Drosophila melanogaster: one gene and its partners. The protein of the gene in region 1 interacts with the protein of each later gene in a pairwise test. Each region holds a gene or a part of one and is shown on either strand. Other genes may lie near its edges.

The links.
Region 2: the proteins of Doa (region 1) and CG9776 interact in a two-hybrid assay, tested with the Drosophila melanogaster proteins (one large-scale study listed by BioGRID).
Region 3: the proteins of Doa (region 1) and CG18476 interact in a two-hybrid assay, tested with the Drosophila melanogaster proteins (one large-scale study listed by BioGRID).
Region 4: the proteins of Doa (region 1) and CG8128 interact in a two-hybrid assay, tested with the Drosophila melanogaster proteins (one large-scale study listed by BioGRID).

The regions. Positions count from the first base shown.
Region 1 is NT_033777.3:28,901,487-28,906,511, reverse strand, and holds the start of Doa (darkener of apricot), read right to left. Parts: upstream 3,035-5,025; 5' UTR 2,937-3,034; intron 874-2,936; exon of another isoform or gene 750-873; 5' UTR 705-749; coding exon 1-704. UniProt on the Drosophila melanogaster protein: Dual specificity kinase involved in the negative regulation of microtubule-based transport through phsophorylation of the microtuble-binding protein eEF1gamma.
Region 2 is NT_033777.3:4,328,044-4,336,010, forward strand, and holds the start of CG9776 (uncharacterized protein), read right to left. Parts: upstream 6,029-7,967; 5' UTR 5,870-6,028; coding exon 5,179-5,869; intron 5,117-5,178; coding exon 4,949-5,116; intron 4,435-4,948; coding exon 4,247-4,434; intron 4,182-4,246; coding exon 3,504-4,181; intron 3,004-3,503; exon of another isoform or gene 2,962-3,003; coding exon of another isoform or gene 2,959-2,961; intron 2,206-2,958; coding exon 2,057-2,205; intron 1,992-2,056; coding exon 94-1,991; coding exon of another isoform or gene 86-93; exon of another isoform or gene 14-85; intron 1-13. Other genes in the region: CG14645 (uncharacterized protein), read left to right, coding at 7,074-7,367; Skp2 (S-phase kinase-associated protein 2), read right to left, coding at 7,500-7,686, 7,743-7,902, 7,966-7,967.
Region 3 is NT_033777.3:11,674,401-11,680,103, forward strand, and holds CG18476 (uncharacterized protein), read right to left. Parts: upstream 3,717-5,703; 5' UTR 3,617-3,716; coding exon 3,485-3,616; intron 3,418-3,484; coding exon 3,005-3,417; intron 2,950-3,004; coding exon 2,043-2,949; intron 1,985-2,042; coding exon 1,403-1,984; intron 1,332-1,402; coding exon 555-1,331; 3' UTR 520-554; downstream 1-519. Other genes in the region: CG14715 (uncharacterized protein), read left to right, coding at 1-28, 92-361; Taf12 (TBP-associated factor 12), read right to left, coding at 4,152-4,472, 4,544-4,813; Ho (heme oxygenase), read left to right, coding at 5,471-5,627, 5,684-5,703.
Region 4 is NC_004354.4:15,695,610-15,700,564, forward strand, and holds CG8128 (uncharacterized protein), read left to right. Parts: upstream 1-1,884; 5' UTR 1,885-2,054; intron 2,055-2,423; exon of another isoform or gene 2,424-2,713; 5' UTR 2,714-2,911; coding exon 2,912-3,078; intron 3,079-3,150; coding exon 3,151-3,272; intron 3,273-3,552; coding exon 3,553-4,256; 3' UTR 4,257-4,425; downstream 4,426-4,955. Other genes in the region: CG9240 (uncharacterized protein), read right to left, coding at 4,797-4,955.

The DNA of each region.
Region 1 (5,025 bases):
TCTGGAGCAGCGCTCCTTTCGCGATTACGATCTGGCGAAATGGAACGCTCTCGACTACGATTGTGGGAACGGGCATCCCGAGCAGCTCGCTGCATTCTCAGCAGCTCAATCGAGTCAGCTATGTGAGAGGTACTCTTCTTAGGCGGTGAGTCATCTTTGGAAGAGGCCTTCGGCTGCGAAACGTTAAGAAGGTGCATCTCCATGGCATCATCTATGTTGCAGGGTAGCGAAGCAATGCGTTCTCTTGGACCTGAATTGGTTGGAAGGGAACCCTTGGTTAGTTCCTCTTCCTCATCGTTGTCGTCGTCTTCATCATCCTCCTGCTCCTCCTCTGCCTGTTGCCTGATGCGCCGTTCCTCCTCTTCCTGTTGCCTGCGTTTCTCGCTCTCCATCACCCGCTGCAGCTGAGCCTGCACCTCGAGGGCAGCACGTGCTCTGGCCTTGGACTCGGCCTCGCGGGCCTGACGAAACTGTTCCTGGGCAATTGCTAGAGCTTCCGCCTCCGCCTGTGCTCGAGATCTGGCCTCCGCTTCTGCGGCTGCTGCTGCCCTAAGTGTGGCCAAATCCGTGGCCGTCATCTGCTTTATGCTCAGGCGGCGCTCAGTATTGAGGATCAACTCCACCTGGGTGCTACCGCCCTGCGGCTTTTGCGCCGCGAGGTCTGGACAGCCAAGGGCGATCAGTTCGCTAAGTTCGTTGGACATTCCAAGGGGTGTGGTGAACTTTTCGGTTGATTGTCAGCTTTCTTTCTGGATCCCAAGGGGAAAAATTACTCGATTATCTAATATTGCACTGGCGGCTCCCTCGAATTGCGTTGGGTTCGACTAGCTGGGCAAGACTCGCGAGGCTGCCAATGTTGGCCCCAAAGGAAACCTGCGCAACATCGGATTATTTCGTATTGGTTCTATTCGGATCAGATCGGATCGGAACAATCGATCGCACGCTCAATGTCAATGTCTCATTGGCATTTTGGCAAATGCCCGACGACTTGACTTACTAATTGTATCAATGGTCGCCGTTCGACCAAAGACTGCTTCTTTTTGGCGCCCATATACATCCGACATATATATGGGTACAAGCATGTATAGCACCCCCAATTTGTTTTGGTATATAGAGCAGAGACATATACAAATTACAAATCGTAAACAGCAATGAGCTCATTGATCGCGGCGCCGCCTCATCAAAAAGCAAACCCCCTACCCCTTTGCGATTCTAGCCAAAAGATCTGCACCTTGCCCTAAATCTATTGCGATGTGTGGAATATGTGTGAATATCCCTGGAGAGATCGTTTTAGCCTATGTGTGATATCTCGGTGGGGTTCATTGGGCATCTTTCCCTGCCATTCTGTGTTCGGTTCGAAATCTGTTTTTATTTTTAACAAATGGACGACGTTATACCTAGTACACAGTACGTGTGACGCTAGTGCCAGTACAGTGAAACCTCGATCAGCCATGCAAATTGAACTGACAGCTCTCATTTGGAAGATGCATCTCTGATCTCTGATAATCACATTCGACTGATTGGATTTTTTAATTCACTTTGAGTTTCCATTAATTTTCTGATCTTTGCTGAGCTCTGGCTTAGCTTTCACTGTACCGAAAGCACACACATTCGAGTTGGAAAATCTGAAGGGGAAAAGTTTTCCACCCCAGTTGACTTTTATTTTGGTTGGCATCATCATATGGCCAAAATTTAATCATGTACAAGTTTGTGTCTTGGATTTTTGCTATAAGTTTGTTGTGGCAACTAAATATAAATGCAAGCCTTACGAAAATAGCTTTCGAAAATTATAGAAAACGCCAGCTAAGCGGAAAGTGGAGGATGGAGGGCAGCGGAAGGAGACGCCGGAGCGGCGGAGATCAACATGATGATGATGTGGCAGCCTGATGAATAATCCCGCCGATCTGTAGCGCACATATAGATAGTTTGTATCTATGTGGCACACACACTAACGGACACACACGTGTGTGCTCCATTTGTTAGTTTTGAGTTTTTGTTTTGATTTGCTTGGCCGCTGCGTTGTCTTCTTCGCCTTCATCTCCGAGTACACAGAAAACATATTCACCATATTATCTAAGCACAATAGTAACTAAACTGTTTTTACTTGTTGACCCTTAAACTTTTGGAACATAGTTAACAAAGAAATATGGTTTGAAGATATATATCATTCCATAGTCCAAAATGTTTTTAAACTATCTTCATTTCTATCTGTGTATTCGATTGAGTGAATGTTGCACTAGTCTCCTCCATCCCCATACGCTATTTCTATTAAAAGTATCTTTCGCCTCGCTAATTGCAAACTTGGTGGAGAAGTGCAAAGTTCACTATCAGCGTTTTGGACGTTTCACAGCTGCTCATCAGGCTGGATGGTATCCCACTTGATATTATTCCGAATTATACACTCGCCACCATTGGCGGGGGGTCAATAAAACAGTTTGGCTATGGTATCTTGCATCGCGTTTTGTTTAAACAAATACAGTCCGATGAATATCGCGCACTTTTTTTTAACACTCAGTGTTTTGTTTGATGTTTTTTTCGCTTTCGACAATTTTGTTCTTGCCGCACTGCTACTGTTTTATTTTTAAAACACTTAAATGTTCTAAGTTTTGGGTTGTTTTTTGTTCTTGCGCTTGATTATGTCACGGTGCCCAGCAATTGTTCTACCTATCCTATCGTTCCGAAATGCGTTTCTATATTGCACATACGCTCCGTATGTACCTCTAATTATTGTTCTATTCGATTATTTGGTGTTTCTCAGCCAAATACAAAAAGAAAAGGAATATTCAAAGCACAAGAAACGCACACACACCACACACGCACACACACACATCGATAAACAAATTGCGCGAAAGGAGACGATCAATATAGAGATCGGGGGGATCTGACCGGATAGAGAGAGACAGCGAGTGTGCGGGGGATCCCCGTGGTACCCGTACCGTTACACGACGAAGACGAAGCGACGACAATATGTAGTTTATATGGTTTATATGGCAGCAGTGGCGGCGACACACAGCCAACAAACGTAGATTTCAATCTGTTTCGGTTTCCTCGAATTTGAAAATTCTCAGCCGAAAACTGGCCGCAGATGAGAAGAGCGCAGACTTTCGGCGGCGCGTGTATTTATAATTTTCCAATGGCCACGGAGCAAATGGCAAGTAGATGCTTTTCCGCCGGATGAAGCTGCGCGCGCATCTCCGAGAAAGAAGTATCAGCTGTGCGCCATGGGCCATAGGTAGTTTAGACGAACATGCGCACAGTGCGGAGAGGAATCCCCAAGGCGTCGCTCTCGGGAGCCCATAAACATGTGTGTATTTGGGGGCATGATATAGACAGGGAGAGTGAGTGGGCACCGTGTAAAATCGGTGTATATAGCGGCGGTCAAAGCAGTAGCATTGCCAATAAATCATGCCAAAATTTCCAGAAGACTTAACATTTGTGTTTGCAGAAATTCGAATAATATATGGACGACCATTTGACTTGAATCGACATGTGTACATATATCACATATACAGATTATAACTAACAATTTTAGTTTAAAACAACGAAGGGAATTTGTTAGGATTACAATTACTACTGTACATATTTTTTTCCACAATATTTTTGAAAAAAGGTTGTGTTCCTATAAAATTGTAGGACCGACAATGCATCACGAGAAAACGAAAGATATTCGCCGACAATCTGTGACTCGGAATGGGGACGACTCACTAGATAGTCGTCATTGTGGTCCACAAAGTACTCCTCGATGATCCAATTGTCGCCGGCGTACTTGTCCACAGGCATATCGCTGAGGGCCACAAGATCAAAGTGATTACGTTGCCGTTTTAGCAGCAGGCAGCGGGTAATGGCCACGCTCTCTCCGTCACCGGGTGAAGCATCCTCCTCCAGATATGTTTCCAGGCCACAGCCATTCGCCCCATTCCGGATGATGAGCTGCTGCTCCAACTGCTTAAAATACTGAATCTTGGCGGCCTGGGGACTAAACGATGACGCGGAGGGAATTCTATGCGAGTTACTCAGCCCACTTAATTGGCGGCGACATGGGCAACTGGCAATGCTGGCGAGGAGCAGTTCGCATCATCCGCAGCAGCAATAGCAATATCTCATCACATCTCAGAGCAGCAAAGAAAACTCTGGCCGCCGTCAACGAGTTAATGTCAAATGATCAATTGAACGAAAATAACTAGAACAGCGGGGAGTGTTGGGCACAGGGGTAGCTATAAAGAACCACCAACAGTGAATGAGAACTATAAAGTTCTCGTTTAATTGAGAGCTGTTTTTCATACAGCTAGATGCCACGAAGAACGCATAGAAATTGCTTAATTTGCACATGAATATTGCCAAGGTTTCGCTTAACTGCTCTATTTAAGTACCATTTTATTACTGATGAATACAGCTCAAACCGAGTTTCCGCTCTAAGCTTTTAAAAAATGATTATCTCTTAAAATTTTGATTATATTTAAAGTGGCTACTGTTTTTTTTCAAACCTACACTTGAATAACAAAACCAATAGTTATTTGTAATTATGTAACATCTAAGTTTCTGAATTTCGACACAGTTTAAAGGCCTTGCCCAACCAAGTTACTTTGTTTCAAGTACTATCTTATCAACTCATGCTGCTCACTCAAGTGCTCCGCCTCTTGAAGCCCTGAAGCATTTATTTCCATATTCAGTTACACTGATTACAGTGACTTTCCCATGTAATCACTGTACCAGAAGACCAAGAACCAGAGCAATGTGACACATCTAATGACAAATTTAGCTCAACTCAACGCCGCATAGATAAGAAAGTAGAGAGGGATCGAGTGCAGCGGCGAACGATCATGATAGCGCGCTGATCACTTCACCGATCCACTCGAGAATAGGGTGTACTGCAAGACGCACACAAAAGTAAGGAACGATAGGTTAGTCAAAAGGAGGAGAAGGGGAAGGGGAGGTGGGTGGGTTCGATTGATAGCACAACATACATGCTTACTAGATAATCGCTGTCGTGATCGACAAAGTACTCAACGACTATCCAATCATCCG
Region 2 (7,967 bases), about 25 Mb from region 1:
GTAGAACTCATTTAAGACTCAAATAGCACAGTTTCTAATTTAATTAAAAAAAAAGAATAATATACATAGCAAAGAAAGACACGTTCTACATACATTGTGCCGCCATGTCACTCCTGTCGATTCCCAGCATAGCCAACTCGTCAAGCTCCGACTGACGACGAAGCTTCTCACTGTCTGAAGGCGATACAGCCGGCTCTGGTATTTCTGAGATATCAGCTTGCTTCTGTAAGGCCTTGCTTTTCGTCTCCTCGTCAAATGACGGCTCAGCCGGAGGCGAATTCGGCATTGGGATATCCTCTGCGTCAATCAGTTTTATGTTTACTCCGTCGTCCGATTTGCCATTTAAATCCTGCAACTTTTCAATCTTCTCCGATGTTTGAATATGTGACTTTTTAGGTACCTCTGCTTCATTGATAGTTACAAGGTGAATACCCTCTTTAGCTAAATCTTGAAGATGAATCACACTGAGCACTGCGTCATCTTCAACAATGGTGGTGATAGTCACATCTTCCTGCTTTTCACTGTTTCCATTTGATGCCTCCAAAATCGCTACGTCGCTGGGGAATATTATGTCAAGCGCTTCGACCAGGTCCTTTGGGAGTTCCCCGTCTCGGGATTGTGCCGCAGCGTCTAACGGATGCGGTACCAGGGCAGATTCAGCTTCATCAATGCCTGGGGGCAAGACGTCCTCTCGGTTTTCGTTGTCATGCTGATCGCCATCCTCAGGGCCATGGGCATCACCTTCAGAGCCTTCTCCAGGCGGCGGAGGTGGTGGGCAGCTCGTCATTAAATTGGCGAACTGGACAGGATCTGGCATTAGCTCATCGTAATCTACCATCATACCCGCATCTGGATGAAATGGGGGAGCATTGCCAAAAGCATCTTCCATCATTGCCATCTGAATCTGCGCAGCTGTCGGTGCTTGTTGACGCACAGCTATCTGACTTGTCGCTCCGCCCAATGGAGGTGGCGGTGGAGGTGGTGCCTCCAAACAGCCGTTGGTGTAGACAGCAGAAGCATCATAGTTGAAAGATGGAACAGACTGCTTTTTAAATACTGGCATCTTACCGATGAAAGGTAGTTTTTTGCCTCCAGGCAAGGAATTGTTACTGGGCTTGGATGACTTTGACTTGCTTTCTGCATCCTTCTTGTCGCGCTTTATATCAGTTTGCTTGCGTTCCGGCACAGTACGGGGCCGAAACTCGGAATGCTTGACCACGGGACGCTCTACCCGTTCAATAGAGCGACTACGACTGCGTCGACTTCGGCCCTGACGGGATCGACTTCTTCGACTAGATCTTATGGGCGAACGAGAGAAGTGTCGGCCACGACTGCGTGACCGACGCCTACGACCACGGTCTCTATCTCGCTCACGATCCCGCCGATCTCGATCCCGCCCGCGACTTATGCTTCGAGAGTAGCTGCGCCGCTTAGAACGTGAACGAGAATGACGTCCTCCACCCCGCCTAAACTTTTCATCATTCGCTTCTGTTGGTACTGCTTTGTGGTTGTTCTGGTCGCGGGCTCCCTTGTTCTTCAGCCTTCCTTTAAGCTGCTCCAACAACTTTTTTTCACTCTCACTTATAACAGGCTGCACATTATTCCATTGCTTGAGCATGGTATCATCCCGGTTCTTTTGATCCTTACTTTGGTCTTCGACACTGGCGGCAGTCCATTTACCCCGTTCTGAAGGAATTGTGGAATCCTTTATGATCGGTGGCGGTGGCGGCACCACAGGCTGACAAGGCACTTCCGGCTTCAAATTTGTTGGTGTGCTTTCCTGCTTTCTCATGGCCACTCGTATTGATGCTGCATTAGTCGACTTATCTGATTGACAAATTGGTTGCTGTTCGGTACGACCTTTCTTTGGTTGCTGTCCATTTTCCTCTTCCGACGAAGAGCTATCGGAGGATGACGATGTGCTGTTTGCATCTATTGTACTACGTTTGCTCTTCTTTCCGTGCTTGCGCTTCTTTTTTTTTTTGTCCCCGCTGTTTGTAAAAAAGAAACAAATATAAAATATAATCTGGATTCAAATTATTCTTATGACCCTTACCCCTTTTTTTTCCTCTTTTTGGACGCCTTGTCCTCGTCTTTCTTGGACTTTTTATTCTTGGCATCATCGTGATCTTTCTGTTGATTCATGGCCCGCTCGCGGTTTGTTTGCCACTCTATTTCATAGTTGGGGTTCTGATTTAAAAATTGCTGCAATGCACGGGTACAAAAAGTCAATAATATATTCCAAATTGACAGGAGAATAATTGCATGAGGCGAAGAATTAATAAAAGCAATTATAAAATATATACGAGAAAGGTAAGTGGAAGGCCTATGTTAGTTTTGACAAGAGTGGTCCCCGACTATTAGATACCCTTTGGTGACTCAGTGGAAGTGCGAACGAGAGCTATAAAATTTTTTTTGGCATGTCGATAGAAATTGGGAAATGAATAAACTTAAATCTTCTCGAAGTTTTTCTTATAGTTTCTGAGATCTCGACGTTCATACAAACGGACTGACAGGCGGACATGGCCAGACTCGGCTAGTGATCTTGATCAGGAATATCCTTATTTTATATGGCCACAAACGAGTCCGACCTGTAACATACTTTTCAACGAATCTAGTATACCCTTTTACTACGAGTAACGGGTATAATGAAATTTTTAAAAAGTGTGGGCGAGACAGTTTTTGGGCGTCAAATACCATAGAATAGCCACCGTTTGTGGCCTTTGTGGTGTGACAATGTTCTAAAAGAAACTTACGCCACGAAAACCTCAATAGAATCTGCATGCTTAGGTATCTTTTATAGTTCCCAAAAATTCGATGTTCATACAAACGGACATGCCTCTATAGGCTTCCATTTATTTATTGTTAACTTATGATTGTAGTAAGATTACATAAGTACTAACAATATATTTAAAGCACATGTTGGCTACTCCATTTACATTCACATTCCCATCTTACCATTAAATTTTGTTGCTGGGAAGGAAAAGAAGAATTAACCTTTTAAAAATAAGCCAATTTAATAATTAATAAATTGACACAAAGGTAAAAGCCAACTTTACAGCAAAAAAAAAAGTTGACAATTGGAGCAATCTTCAAACTTGTTCTGCTCATACACTACATCATTGCCAAGGGTAGTGACAGCTGATATTATGTGCGAATGGCAAATGCCTGAAATCCGAACTTTTTTTATGCATGAAAGCACAAGTGAATAACGTAATTTACCTAAATATCTTAAGTGCAAATTTAACACACAAAACTTTTGATGTAAGCTAAACGTAGAAATGATTTCACGATATGTAAATAACGTTCAATCTTAACAAAACTATTGTTTCAATTTTGTTTTTGGGAAGTACTTCTATCCACCAGCCCTACAAGCTCCGTATTTTTATATTTAATATATATATTTTATTAATTAAATACAAAACCCTAAATTAACATGGTAAAGAATATTTGTGACAGTAAATATTTCATAAGAGCTTTAAAAGATGTATATTACTACTCACCTGATACTTATTGGAGTGAAGCCTAGACTTAAGATGAGCAGAAGCGCAGTGCAAGTCTCCAATCCAAACACTGCAGAGCTTGCAAAACCAAGCGTTAGCCGGCACCAGAAATTGCATGCCCCTCACGGGGACGCGCCTGGCAGGTGCGTTTTCAAATGTGGGAAAGGGATCGTGGTCAATACCCACATGCCACGGAGTTTCTATGGTTTCTCGATTCATGTGTTCCTCGGCATGCAAGTGCTTTAAATAGTCTCGAGCAGACTTTGGAAAAACTCCACAGCTCTCGCACCAATGCTGCTCGGGATCGAAAAACACAAAATTGTAATTTTGTGCTTGGGTTGGCACTGCCTTCATTTCACCATGTAGCTGCTTTGACTTCATCGACTTTATGGCGCGGTGCTTTAGCCGATTGGTTGGACTTCCTACGGCGCCGCCTGCCCCTTCCCCGTCTTCGTTATCGGATGACGAATCGGAAGCAGTACTAGATGATGAGCTGGATTCAGAGCTATCTGCAGAACTCTCACTGGAGGAGTGCGAGCGACTATCCTGTTGTTCCGGTTGAGTCTTGCCATGGGACTTTTGGTTAGATGGTTCATCTTCAACTTCTTCGTAGCCAATTATGCCGTTCAGCATATCTATAACGTTTTCAATTGTGTCAAGTTTCTTCTTAATTTGCATCTATACAGGATGAAAACAGGTTACATAGAGTGGCTAACAGATAAGGTTTTGGGATCCCAATTCACCTGCAGGCGGTCGTTTTCTTCGATGAAATTCTTTGTGGTTGGCGAGGGTGGGGCATCGCCTGCTGCCAGGTCCTCGCGCTGGTCCTTAAGTACTTTCATTTCCTTCTTGAGCAGCGATACCTTTTTGACATAGTTAGCGCGCTGTTTCTTAAGCTCGTCCTTTTGCTTCTCCGCTTCTTGGGCAACAGCTGCCGATCGACGGTATATATATGGGGGATAAATATATAGGTTTTAATTAATAAACATTCTTCCTAGATAAATAAAAGTTAAAATTTCATTTACAAATGCATTCTCGAGTGCATTTCATCGGCTAATTACACTCGGATGCAGTCGCCGTGATTGCTTGTTCTGCCAGTCCTCGTTGAATGAAGAGCCAGTTGGGGCGGCGGTCGTCCAGGTTGGCGTAATTGTTTGTTTCGACTGCCACACAAAAACGGAAACTCTGCATTTTCTTTTTGAAACGAATTAACATTTCGAGACTATCGCTCGGGTTGGTCTTGGTTAGTTCTTGCAGCGCGTGTACTTCTAGATTCTGATTAATCTGATCTTTACCCTAGACTTTTGGTAATTTCTGGTATGCGATTCATTTGCGCGCAATTAAGTTACAAGTACAAGTAATCATGACAACAGTAATAAAACAATGTGAGAGGTTTGCATGTGAATGTTCGTAGTGATCACATTGTAATTCATTTCCACACTTACCATCCTGAGGCGTCAAACCTGCGCCTTCGAGCGCTGGCACCGACTGCTCCTCGCCTATCGTCTTGCCAGAGAGAGTTTCGCGGGCCTTCTGTGGCTGGATCAGGGAGTCTGAAGCGGATGGCTGGACCCCAGAAATAGGCTGGTTAATCCACACCTGCTGACCGTACACTGCAGGAAATAATATGCTTAATAAATGAAGGGCTTTTGGCGTTAAATGTCTAGAAACGTACCATTTACGTCCCACGCGCTTGTGGGAGGCGGACCGTAGCCAGAGCCAAAAGAGCTTTGGTCCGGCGGGGCACCTGGAATACCGTACCCCGGTCCCTGAGGTGGAAACGAGTTAGGCGGAATTCCATATTGGTGACCGTAAACATCTGGTGGAGCGACGTATGATCCGTAGATATGTGCGGCCATAGCTCCATAGCCAGGGGTCATTTGAGGATGTGGTCCTCCATGCGGAGGGGGCACTGGCGGCGACGACGGTTTTTTTTTTGGTGACCATCGACCTCCCCGTCGGGGCGACATGCTGCGGGACCGGGATCGTCCGTACCGTCGTCCGCGACGTGGCGGAGAGCGCCGGCGTTCGGGGGAGCGTCGCCGATCACGATCAAAGCGCCGTCGGGAGTACCGCCCATAATCGGGCGAATCGTAACGACGACGCGGTGGAGTCAGCGAGCGGGACAGGGAATGCCTTCGCCGGGTGTTCGACGGCGATGTGTTGCGGGAATCCGACCGACCACGGGATGTGGAACGGCGCCTGGAATTCGACTTGCCGCGCTTTCCCGACCCACTGCTCCTGGGCTCGCAGTTCTCGTTTCCGCTTTTCTCATCGACGCCGGGTGGCCCTGGAAGCAGATCATGATCGACCGCGTTACCGAGACGCCTATCCCCCAGCTGTATCGTAGCCGAGTCTTCATCCATCTAAAAGCCGAAAAGTGTCTTTTCGACTTAAAAACGCAATTTTGGACTAAGATCAATAGCAGATCGGTGTTTTTCTGGCAAATTCCGAAATTACGTGTGTGAAGCAAAATAGTGCAATACAGGCGAACCTGAACCTGATAGTTATCGATACTATCGATGTTGTCACGTATTGGCCAACATCGATGACAAGGGAGTTACAATCGACGAATGTTTACTCTTTGGCTTAATAGCCTATTCACACCAAAGGCAAAAGGTAAGTTATAGTTAAATACTATTAAGTACCGACATTGGTACAAATTTGTCTAAAGTGATTTCCCAAGAAGTGTGGAAAACGCCGAAATGTCCACCCCGTTAAGCATACTAGCACCAAAAGAATTTTTACTTTTGTAACGCACTTTAAATTTCCGTTAATATATAAAAAAATTACCAATTGGAGGGATGACTCAAAATAGTTTCAATTTTATATTTCTACCCGTTACTCGTAGAGTAATAGAGTATACTAGATTCGTTGAAACAGGCAGAAGGAAGCGTTCCCGACCATATGAAGTACATATATTCTTGACCAGGATCAATAGCCGATCTGGCCATGTACGTCTGTCCGTATGAAAGTCGAGATCTCAGGAACTATAAAAGCTAGAAGGTTGAGATTAAGCATACAGATTCTAGAGACAAATACCCAGCGCAAGTTAGTTGACCCATGTTGCCACGGGTGACGGGTATCTGATAGTCGAGGAACTCGACCATAGCCTTCTCTCTTGCTTTAGTTACTTTTATATTGCTGAATCTTTAAATTTGGCAGGCTGTCCAATACGAACTTTGTTCTTGAACCTATGATTACGAACTAGATCGAAAATATTTATATTTGTCGTTTCCCTATATGATTTTGTTTTGAATTGGCTTGATTATGCTTTCCTTGATAAAAGACATATTTTTTGTTTATTTTCTTAAATATTTAATATAGTATAAAAACAATGAATTTTTAAATGGAAAATTGGGTGACTCATTGTACCTTTTTTAGTTTGAACAGATTGGAGTCAAGGGCAAGTACTGTTATCTTTTCCTTCCTCTCTCGAGTGTTTACATTAATGCCAATTTATAAAAGCATTTTCTGGTAGTAGCTGCACTTGGATACTATACCGCTGCAACTATGTAACTATAAAAGGCTTCGAGTACTTCCAGTAGACCATAGAACATTTTTTGAAAGATGAAGGTTCAGCTCGCTCTAACCTCCCTACTAGTGATTTCTTTTGGCATTGCCCTCGCCTATGATGGTGACGGACAGCCGGGTTGCAAGACCCAAGCCGAGCTAGACATTGTAGTTTTCCGCAACAATTGGGATGCCACATCGTATTGGAAGTGTGAGACACTTAACAAACCAGCCATTGAAATCAAGTGCCCCAGCGAAACAGGATTCATGGATAGTCTCAAGAACTGCGTCAACTGGGAGGAATGGGAATGGGAGAAACCAGTGGAGCCCCTTAGCGAAGCGGATCAGTGACCAAACGCACAAAAATAAGAACAGCTAAATGTGATTATTTATGTTGTTGAATTGAGAATAAAATAACTGCGTTACGGGTGGCTTACGCAGCAAAACAAATTCAAATGGTAACGGAAGCAGCAGAGTCGAGACTTAGTCGCGCGTGCGCAGACCCCAAATGGAGGTGCGTCGCGTGCCAACAGTCGGGCGGGATACCGAACTGTGAATGAATTTGTTTATACCCATTTTTGGCAGTTGTTTCTCAAGGACTTCCATTGCAGTGTCCGACAGCATCCCAAATATGTCTAAATAGGTTAGCGAGGGCATACTCTTAAGTTCACTGCAAGGAAAATGACTGGGTAGGGATTAATCAGACGCTTGCTGGAAAAATCTTACATAAATTTGGTTGCTGGAATAAGATAGCATCGGGAGACGGACAAATATTCCAGCATCTTGAACTTCATAATTGCAGTAATGACTGTTGGTGTTAGACTATTGCAATCAGATAGATCAAGCTCCAACAACTGAGGACACCGTTTTTGCAGGGTTGCAACATCTAAACAAATTAAATTCAAATCAAAAAGGAAATATATCATTGAAGACGGTGGGAACTACTTACGC
Region 3 (5,703 bases), about 17 Mb from region 1:
CGGCGATCTCGTCCACGTGCACTACAGAGTAAGGGAAATCAGATAAGGAAGATCTCTAGCCGACCTAACCCCGAATTTGGAATCATTCTAGGGAGCACTGCAGGATGGAACAGAGTTCGATAGCAGCTACTCCCGCGGCACTCCCTTCTCCTTTACCCTGGGAGCTCGGCAGGTGATCAAGGGCTGGGATCAGGGAATCCTTGGTATGTGTGAGGGTGAGCAGCGAAAGCTGACGATTCCGCCTGAGCTGGGATACGGAGCCAGTGGAGCGGGTGGCGGAAAGATTCCCCCCAATGCGGTGCTCGTCTTCGATACGGAGTTGGTAAAAATCGAACCGCGCTCTGGATCTGAAGAGCTGTAAAGCGAATAGGGCCACAAATAGGCATTCCATGCTACACCCAAAGTTTACTTTCAACTAAAGTCATAAACATTTAATGCTCAAATATTTAAAGTAGTAATTTGTCTTGTTTCTGAAGTGATGCCACGCCACGACCAATAAATAATAATGTCATTCCTTTTATACTAGACCAAATTGTATTTATTGCAAGAGCCCCTTACTTTTGGCGTCTCAGCCACGCTTCCACCTCGTCGAAGTGACGCCGCATCAACCGATGCTTCTCCAGCGTGCTGCTCTGGATGAAGCGCTCGCCACAGGTGCCGCACACGAAAGGACATTCGCCGGTGTGCTGCTGGAGATGAAGCTTCAGGTCCTTGGCCTGACGGTAACTCTTCTCGCAGTAGGTGCATTTGTGCGGCTTTAGGCCGCTGTGCGTAAGCATATGGCGCTTGAGCTTATCGGAGCGGGCAAAGTCCTTGCCACAGACGGTGCAGTGGAATGGCTTCTCGCCGGTGTGCATCCGGCGGTGCGAGGCCAGCTCTGAGTGGCGGGGAAAGGCCATTTCGCACAGATCGCACTTGAAGGGCTTCTCGCCAGTGTGGCGTCGCATATGGGTCACAAGAGCGGCGGCTGATCTCGTCTCCATTCCGCACAGGGAGCAGAGGAAGCGCTTAATTGCCTCCTTGCGCTTGCGGTCGCCGTTAATGTGCACATCGCGAATATGATTGTTCAGGCGCGACTTCATCTGGTACGTGCGATCGCAGTGTGGACACTGTAGCAGCGGTATTCCGTCCTCAGTGGCATCCTTTTCCAGGTCACCGGTCCCTTGCGTGTGTCTGTCGCCAGTCGGATTGCTGACGGAAGACTTGCTGTGTTGCAGGAGAATGTGCTGCTCTAGGTTCTCTGGCCACATAAACTTGTAGGAACACTTGCCACATGCATGCTTCTTTTCTGTACTACTACACTGACCTTGCCGGTGGTGGTCCATAATGCTCTGAAGCAATAATGAAATTGACATAATGTATCTATACTGGTTAAATGTAGAATACACATTTAAAACCTCACCTTGGAGACACATTTAAAGATGCAGTCGTCGCATTCGTGTGGCATTTTGTCAAAGCGATGCATCGTCCGCTGATGCTGGATCATTTCGAACTTCCGCTTGCACTGCACGCTGCACAGCTCGCAAATATATACGGGGCGACTGCCCACACCGGGCTGCATCTCGTCTTCGGTTTCCGAATCCTCCAGCTGCAGCTCAAAGCCAGATTCGTTTGTTATTGAATAATTATGCGGGGAGTCGTAGCTCTGGTGTAGCGACAGGGATAGCTTAAGCTCCAACTGGATATGGGCTCGCAGATCAACAATACGCTCGAAATGCAGATTGCACATGCGGCAAGTAATGCGCTTCGCTCCGTTTGGCCGCGAGGTGGCAGCAATCAATGTTTCTGCCAAGGGAATGTCATGCTCTTTCAAACCGTGTCGCTTCAAGTGTTTTACCAAGTAGTCGTGCCGATAGAATTTGCGACTGCACCACTGGCAGGGAATCAGCTTGGATTCCTCCGCATGTACGCTAAGCAGGTGAACGGTGAGGGATTTCTTTTTATCAAAGACCCGTTTGCACTCGGAACATTCAAACGTTTGATTCTGTAAAATTCATAGATGCAATGGGTCTGTAGCCTGAACAATTCTTAGATTAACTTACTGTAATCCTGTGTTCGCGGAAGTGTGTTTTCAGGTTGTGTTTCCAGCGAAAGCGTAGCGGGCATTTGTGGCAGAGAAATCGCTTTTGTGCATTCCTACACTGCGACTCGTTGTGGTGGCGCAGCAGCTGCAGACTTACAAAACGTCCATCACATCGCCCGCAGACGTGAGGAGCGTCTGACCAACTGTGACTTTGTCGCTGATGGTCATAAAGCTGATATTTTCGCGGGAACTTTTGCTGGCACAGCTCGCAGCTGTAGGTGGCTTTGCGCGACTTCTTTCGCCTCTTGTGCTGGTCATCGTGATCTCCGTCCAGGTCGCTGTCCGTCTCCGAGCTGTCCAGATCCATTTCGTAGCCACTTTGGTTCGTTATCGAATAGAAACGCTGATAGATACCCGCCGCTAGATCCTTGCGAATCAAGTTGATTAACTGCTCCTCACTGAGGTCCTTTGAATCGGGATAAAACAGCTCTGCCAGCTCATGGGGCTCCATATTTGGCCGACCGCACAGGCTAACAATATCGGGGTGCTCCTCCAAATGCCGGCGCAGATCAGCAATCTTGTTGTATTGGCTCTGACAGATCATGCACTCAATCAGCTTGTAGCCATGCGGTTTGCAGAGATTCAAATCCACAGCCTTGGCCTTCTTGTGCTCGCTAATGTTGGCCGATCGTTTTGAATTCCGGTGAATTTTTAGGTGTGCTTCGAGGGCTTCGCTGCGGCTGAACTTGCGAATGCAAAGGGAGCAGTCATATAATCGAGTTTCTGGCTTATGGACGCGCATTTCATGGCGTTTCAAGAAGTCGAATCGTTTAAAACTCCTAGGGCAGTCGTGACATTTATATACAGACTTTCTTCCTGTTTTCCACTTTTGAATGCGATTATACAGTGGCAAATTATCCAGGGAGCTGCAAGATTAGTTAGTTAAAATAAAGTAGTTGGGAAATTCCAATTGTCACCCACTCTTCGTCTTCAAAGTCCGATGTGGGATCGTCATACGCTGGCTTCTCCACGCTTCTGGGTTCCATTTCCAGCTTCACCGTTTCAATCATGGTCAGTGGGTCCACCGACTTTTTGCTCTCCATGTCCGTTTCGTCCGGTTCCGGTAGTTCGGAACAAGTGATAGTAACATCATTTTCGCCACAGTCCTCATCCTCAGTCTCCAGCTTGACTTCCACATGCTGCTCAGCACACAGCTCCATCGGCGCCTCCTGCAGACAGTCGGTTGACGTTGGAGCAGCACCGTTCTTTAGATGCTTCATTAGAAGTTCGTTGGCGGCCATCGCCTGCTTCACATAGCAATAGGCACCCATTAATTTTTTGGTGCATCCACTGCACAAGCATTGCGGAAATTTCTGACTACCAGTTGCATCCAGCTGAAAGGTAAATGTTTCATTTTAGTTTGCATTTTTCGTAGATTTCGCTTCTTAGAACTTTGTTTACATTGATTTCGGTTAGCTCGCATAAAATCTCCGAAAGCAACTTGTCCGGATACTTTTTCGAGGGCGTGGCCAGCTTCAGAAGGTTGTCGGTGTCCGTGGAGTCGCACGTGCGACAAATCACCGGCAGCTTCATGGCGAACAAATTTGTTTTGGCCAATTGAAAGCTTTTTTAATTTTAAATCAACAATCAGAAAATCAACATTATTGATGGTATGACCTTGATGCGAGAGATGGAAAATACCGTTCGGTCATTAAAAAAATACCACGTTGTTAAAAAATACAGCAATTAATTGGGTGCGTTCAGCAGAGTCCGCTAATTATTTTCAAAGGGAAATATTACACAAATATTTTTAAAATAAACTGAAGAAATTGTTAAATTATGAAAAATATAAATCAATATCCACCAGACAAACAATTAATACAAATATTACAGAACCATTAGAAACTGTGATTAAAAAATCACGACTTAAAATTTACTGCTGACGGTGACCAATTGTTGAATGTGAAATCAATAGTGCACTTTTATTACAATAAATCTACAATAGAGCGACGATAATTTGTTATTTAATCTAAATTGGAGCTTAAATTAGTTTGTGGCGTGTGCACGTTTAGCATACGCGAAATCCGGCAAACCGAAACAGAGCCTCGACCCGATTAGATCCAATCCTCTAGTATTTCTTGATCGTTTTCCGTATGAGGGCAAGGCGCTGTTTGTGCGCCTCCGTGACAGCTGCCCGCTTGTAGGGACGCAGTTCGTCCGTACCGAAGCCGGGTATCCACATGTTGTACTTCCGCTCAAAGTGCAGCTGCACGTCGCGCACCTCGATCTTGTTAGACTTTCGGTGCTTGGCGAAGGCGCTCGTCGACTTGACGGTGTCCTCGACAAAGTCGTCGATGATCTGAAGCAGAAGCTCCTCAACATCCTCGTCCAGCTGCGTGGTGGTATCCACCTCTCGGACGAGCTCTGTGAGACGCGGTTTGGTAAGCATCTGTAATTCGGAAGAGAGTTAAACTAGACCCTGGCGTATTCCGTGTGCACTCCATAAGGCACGCATCTTACGGGAGTGTTCTCGGAACCGGCGGCGGATGATGTGTGATTGGATGACTTGCTACCACCAGATATGGGGCCCGTTCCCGTACCCAAACCGGAAACCGGTCCGCCGTTCTGCGAGGATGAGTTGCTGTTGTTGGTCATCGGACTGTGCTGGGAGGGCGAGGCCATGGGTGGGTCGTGGAGCAGTCCGCTGGCGGACGATGTGGAGTTGTGGTTGTGGTGCAGGTGGTGCTCGGCGACGCCGTTGCTATCGAAAGTGGTAAAGAGATCCGACATTGCTTTTGGGTTTCTTCAGAGTCAAATCAAGTGGGTGGTAGGTCGGTTGGTTGGAAGTGTTTGGGGAAAGTACAGTAAGTTGGGCGGATTTTTGGGGAGTGGGTAAGAGTGCAGAACCAAAGCCAAAAGCGTTAGTGTACTTGTTGTTGTTGCTGCTTATGTTGTGTGTCCTCCTGCTTTCTCAACTGCAGTCGGTGATTGTGTGTGCGTGGGTGTTTGGTTGCAAAGCGAAATGTAAGTAAAAGAATAGAGTGGTCAATTTCACGCGTGCGGTCTTAAGAATCCGTCGCTTTGTGTGTTTACTAAAACTAAAGTGTTACTTAGCAGTTGCTCTTAGCGCATGCAACACTTACAATTATTGCGGTTTTAACACTTTGATCTTAAACTATTACTTTCCTAAATTACTAAACAAAATAAAAATAAGCGGAGCAACTACAGCCAAATCAACAGTATGGCCAGTTGCAGGCGACTCTGAAATGCCCGCTGGTGCTATAAAGCAATTTGGTATATTTACGTTTAATTTCAGTATATTTTAGTTAGACAGCCACACTGGCGTGGAGTTCAAAACAAAACAAAGACGGCGTATTTTGCAAATATCACGTAGATAAGGAATATATTTTACTTTGTAATTGGGAACAATAGCTGCGCAAAAGAAACATGTCAGCGAGCGAAGAAACAATAGCGGACAGTCAGGTCTCCGAGAATGTGGAGGATGTGGAATTCGTAGACATGGCGTTCACAAAGGAGTTGCGTAAAGCCACAAAAGATGTGCATAATCTTACTGATGTTCTAGTGAATGCAAAGATCGCACTTGGTTCGTTAATTACACGATATTATTAGAAGTTATTAGATATTCCTCTTCTTCCATAGCCCTTTCTGATGACGAGGTC
Region 4 (4,955 bases), on another chromosome or scaffold:
CGGGTATAAATGATAAGGAAAACTCCCTAATTACAAACAAGAATTTTCCGGGTGCGCGCAAAATAGTGAAGGAAATACAAAGAAAAGGGTTGACGAAGATCGCGCCTGGGAACCTAATAACCCCGATTTTCCACCAACTTCGACATTGGAGTTGAAGTTTTCGATAAGCCGGCGATGGAAAATAGATATATATATATATATATATGTGTGTATATGTACGTGTCCCCAAACAGCCATAGATTTTTTAATAAATATTTGAGATGGCATTTTCACTTAAGCCACGGCATGGAAATCCATTGTGTGCAAACAGGAGGTTGGTTAGCAACCCTAAGCGGAAAATTTGTTTAAACAACTGAGCAAATATCGCCCGCTGGAGAGGGGTAACTTTTTTATGTACTCCCTCTTCGCATATTTTTTTTTTTTTGGGAATTTCCCCCCCAAAAAACAAAAAGAAATTGAAAATTGCTAAGCCGGCAATCAAAATACAAACATCAGGCGAAACTCAACGAGTACCATTGTTGTCCAACTGAAGCACCTGAATTTATGGCACAAGGACATACCACCACACACACACACACACACCTCCCCCCCCCACACACACACAACTACCACCCCCCTGGTGAGTCACGGTTTAAATGTGCATTTCGCAACACATTTACGATCCTTTCTACTCGTAATCCCTTCAATCGCGCTCTAAACTGCTAACTGGTTCCTGATTCCCCAGGATTCCTGGTCGCTGGCGCTTTGTTGCTCTAAATAGCCCTTTCCAAATCACTGGACTCGCACAAAGGACTCGCCCTCAATTGCGCAACTATTTCGATTTCAAAAAAAAAAAATCAAATTAAATAAAATAAAATAAGTGAAGAGGAGAGAAATGGGCCAAACTGGGCGCGCAGCCAAAGAGGATATTTAGTTATATATGAAAATAAAGTTTCAAAGGATCTCAACTATAGAATTTGAAGGCACCTATTGGCCTATTAAAACGATTTATACAGATATGTTTCTTTTCGTATTCAAGTAAAGTAAAAAGGCGAAAAAATTAAAAATGGAACAGTAGCTCCAAGATGACCAACGATGACGGTCAAGAGACGGATGCGGGCTCCACAGTCCAAGAAGGTGATATCGTTCTTCAAGAATCATCGCCGCATGCTCCGCAGGCAGGGCATCGAGGATCTGCTGCATCTGGCCGAACGTGGCCACGTCGAACCGATTAGAGATAGAGACTAGGAGATCGGCATCGAATGCTACATATACGGTATTTATTCCACATTTCCATTCAAATTTGAAAAGCTTAGTTTAAGTTCTAGGATTATTGAATTCCTCTTGCATTTAAATATTTTGTAGTCTACTTTTAGCCGTCTTTAAGAACGACTTCAACCCTCTGCTAATCAGAATGTTAATTCTAAAGCTGGTCGCATTTCTTATTAGAATAGCGTTAGATGTTTTGCGTACTCATCAAAAATTTCCCAATTGAATTAATCATTACTTATGCTACTACTTATGCAGCATTGTCCTTCCTGGCATTGACTGTGACTATTACTATATTATTGTAGGAAGGACTGCACGCATACCAAGAGCGCGATAAATAGCGATGACAGCAGCGAATTTTCCCGCAACGAAGCCGACGACCAGCGAACTTAAGCTCTTTTGGCCATCTAAAGGATGGAAACATTCGATATATTAGCCAAGCCGCTAGCCAGTAACTTATATAACCCATATTAGCTATTTCAAGATTTAATAAATTGTTCCGGAGGCCATATATTTAAAAAATGTTGGTTTGCTCATATTTGATTTTTAACCATTACATATAAGGCTGAACAGCTTTTTCTAGCCAGGCTGGCAGCACTGCCGGATCAGCTGACTGACTTTTCTGTGTGCGCGCCATCCCTAGAAATTAACGTGCTAGTGGAAGTGGAAGCGAATTGAAATCGCGCGCTGCTCTATTCGCTTGTTTATGCCAAAGTCCATGGCTACATTGGATCGGATCTGTAATTAGTCGTCTGGAGGAACTGGACGGATTGGCTCAGTGACACCATTAGCCATTGACTTTTCTAGTGAGTTCGAGTTCCACACAATGTTCTATTCTAGCGCAGATATGGAATAAAAAAAAATATATTTGGCTTGGTTTGTTATGTAAAACGCGTATCAATTCTCTGGCGCGTTGATAACAGCAGCAATTCAGTTGATAAACAAACACAAAACCCATGCGGAAACAATTGAAACGACCCCACACCCCAACACCGCCACCCACCACCCACACGCACCTTGGGTTGTCGCTCAAGGTTGCGCTAGAGATGAGCAGGAAGCAGTGACTGCTATCGTGATTGCCATTAATATTAGTATTAGTATTAGTATAGTGATAACACAGTTTTTTATATATATGTACATATATAGTGATACTTTCAGTTGAATCTATATTTTAGTTTCATTATACTCATGTCACCGGTTTTCTGTCAAAGTCACACTGTTCTGCGCATCTCTATCGCCACTATTTGTTACTGACGTTAGCGCCAAATTCGAAATGTCAAGAACAGAAATCCGAACGTAACAGCGGCCATATCGCTTATCTAGCGACGGCGGCAGATAGTGGCAACCTGCTCCTCCGTCTCGCTCTGCTCCGCCCATCGCAGCAGATTTGCATCGTTGTTTGGAGCCATGCGGCTATTTCACCTCTTTCACCTGTCTGTTTGCCTCGTTTCACACACACACACAGCATGCCCAGGAATTGGCTTCACCTCGCATTGTGGATAAACTGAGACGGTAAAGTCGTTGTCGCCGCCACCGCCTCCGCCACGCCCACCAAGCGGACAGCACCCAGATCTCCGGTTGCGAACTAGTAGTGACGCCAACGTGGTCGATCGCCGTCGTCGTCATCAACAACGTTGTGTTCGTCGAACTGTGAGATTATTTAATGTTGGCCACCGGTTTTCTGGCTCGCAGAACCGTACTTAACCAGCCGGCGTTCAATTCATGGAGCACACTCCTCCGGACCGCTAGAAAACGACCCACATCCACGGTTGCCGCCAGAGTTCCATTAAAGCTTCAGTCACAGCAGCAATTTACAAGAGCATACTCGTCGTAAGAATTGAAAGATGTACATACATATGTATTTAACACATGATTGAAAACTATTTGTATCCCACGATTTAGCTCCAAAACCATGGACACGCCGGCGGATGTATTCCGCGGCATTACGGATCGATTTGCCGGAGTAACAGTCGATGGGCGCGAGGAGAACGTGGACAAATCCAGTTTCCGGGACAAGCTCACAAGTAAGAATATATATCTTAAAATATGTCGGTATCTTTGCCTGGACGTATATTTTTTGTATCATTGTATCTTCTAAGTCTTCGTGCTATCATAAGTTGATTAAAAGTTTATCTATCTAAAGTTGGGGTACTAAATTAAATTTCCAAAATCATTGCTCTCCACTTTTATCAATTTAAAAGTTGTCTATGACTATAAATAGTCATAGACAATAAACGGCTTATAATTTTAATTAAATCTGTGTCACCAATTACCAAATTATATTAATAACGAAATACCTTTTAGAATCCCTGGACTTTTGGACGACGAACAAGAACCGGGCCATTTGGTTCCGCGTGTACAAGGAGCAGGCTGATTGGGTGCCCATTCTGGCGGAGAACGGCTTTGATTTCCATCATGCCAAGACCGGTGTGGTGGTCATGTACCGCTGGTTGCCGGAGCACGAGTCTAGCAACCTACCCACCTACGCCCACACGCTAATGGGCGTCGGCGGACTGGTTATCAACGAACAGGACGAGGTGCTGGTGGTGTCCGATCGTTTTGCAATGATACCAAACAGCTGGAAGCTGCCCGGCGGCTATGTGGAGCCGCGGGAGAATCTCATCGATGCGGCAATACGAGAGGTGGCCGAGGAGACGGGAATCCGCACCGAATTCCGCTCAGTGGTCAGTCTGCGGCATGCCCATGGCGGCACCTTCGGCTGCTCCGACATGTACGTGGTCATCGCCCTAAAGCCACTGAATTTGGACTTTACGCGCTGCGAACGCGAGATAGCGCGCATCCAGTGGATGCCCATCGCGGAGTATCTGAAGCATCCGCAGGTCCACGAGACGAACAGGCAGTTCGTCTGCACCTTTTTGGACTACCAGAAGCGCGGCCTGACCCTCACCTGTCGCGACGAAGTGCATCAGGTGCTAAAGAAGAAATACAATCTGTATTACGTGGATCGGGAGCAGCCACAGGAGCAGCAGGATAAAAAGAATTCGTGAGACTTGTCGGTGCAATGGCCAAATCCTTAGTGCAATTTTTATAAAGTCCTTTCTTCCAAAAGCCAGCAGCATCACAACTGCGCATTCAAATGTTCACAATGTAGTCAATAAATGAATTTTTTTGTATATAATTATATGCATATATCAATTAAAGCTCACACAGCCTTTTACAAAAGCTTTTCTTTTGATACCATTTTTAGAAACGCCAATAATTTAAAATATGGCATTATTTTGAATATGACGCCCAAACATGGTAAATACTTCCTTAGAAGGTAAGCCAATAAGGATTAAGGATGTAAGCTTCATACTTTGAAAAATATGTTTATTAAAAACAAAAATGAAAAGAAATTATTATTCTCTCCTGTTTTTTTCAACTTATTTTCAATGATATGCAAAAACCAGAAGTCGCACAAATGAGACGAAACTCGCATACGTAATGATTCTAAAAAGTTGTGGTTTGATGTACTATAATTTCCAAACGAAACATAGGCCATTTATTGGGTCAAGTTGATTTTAAACTCTTTGTTGTACGAATGCCATCTATAGACCCGTGGCCTCGGATATCGGCCAGATGCGGCAGAGCACGCGGCTCCGGATGAGGCCCACCGGAATGGGTCCGTAGTAGCGGGAATCCGAGCTGTTTCCCTTGTTGTCACCCTCAATCCAAACGTGTCCGCGCGGCACATAGTCCTTGACCAT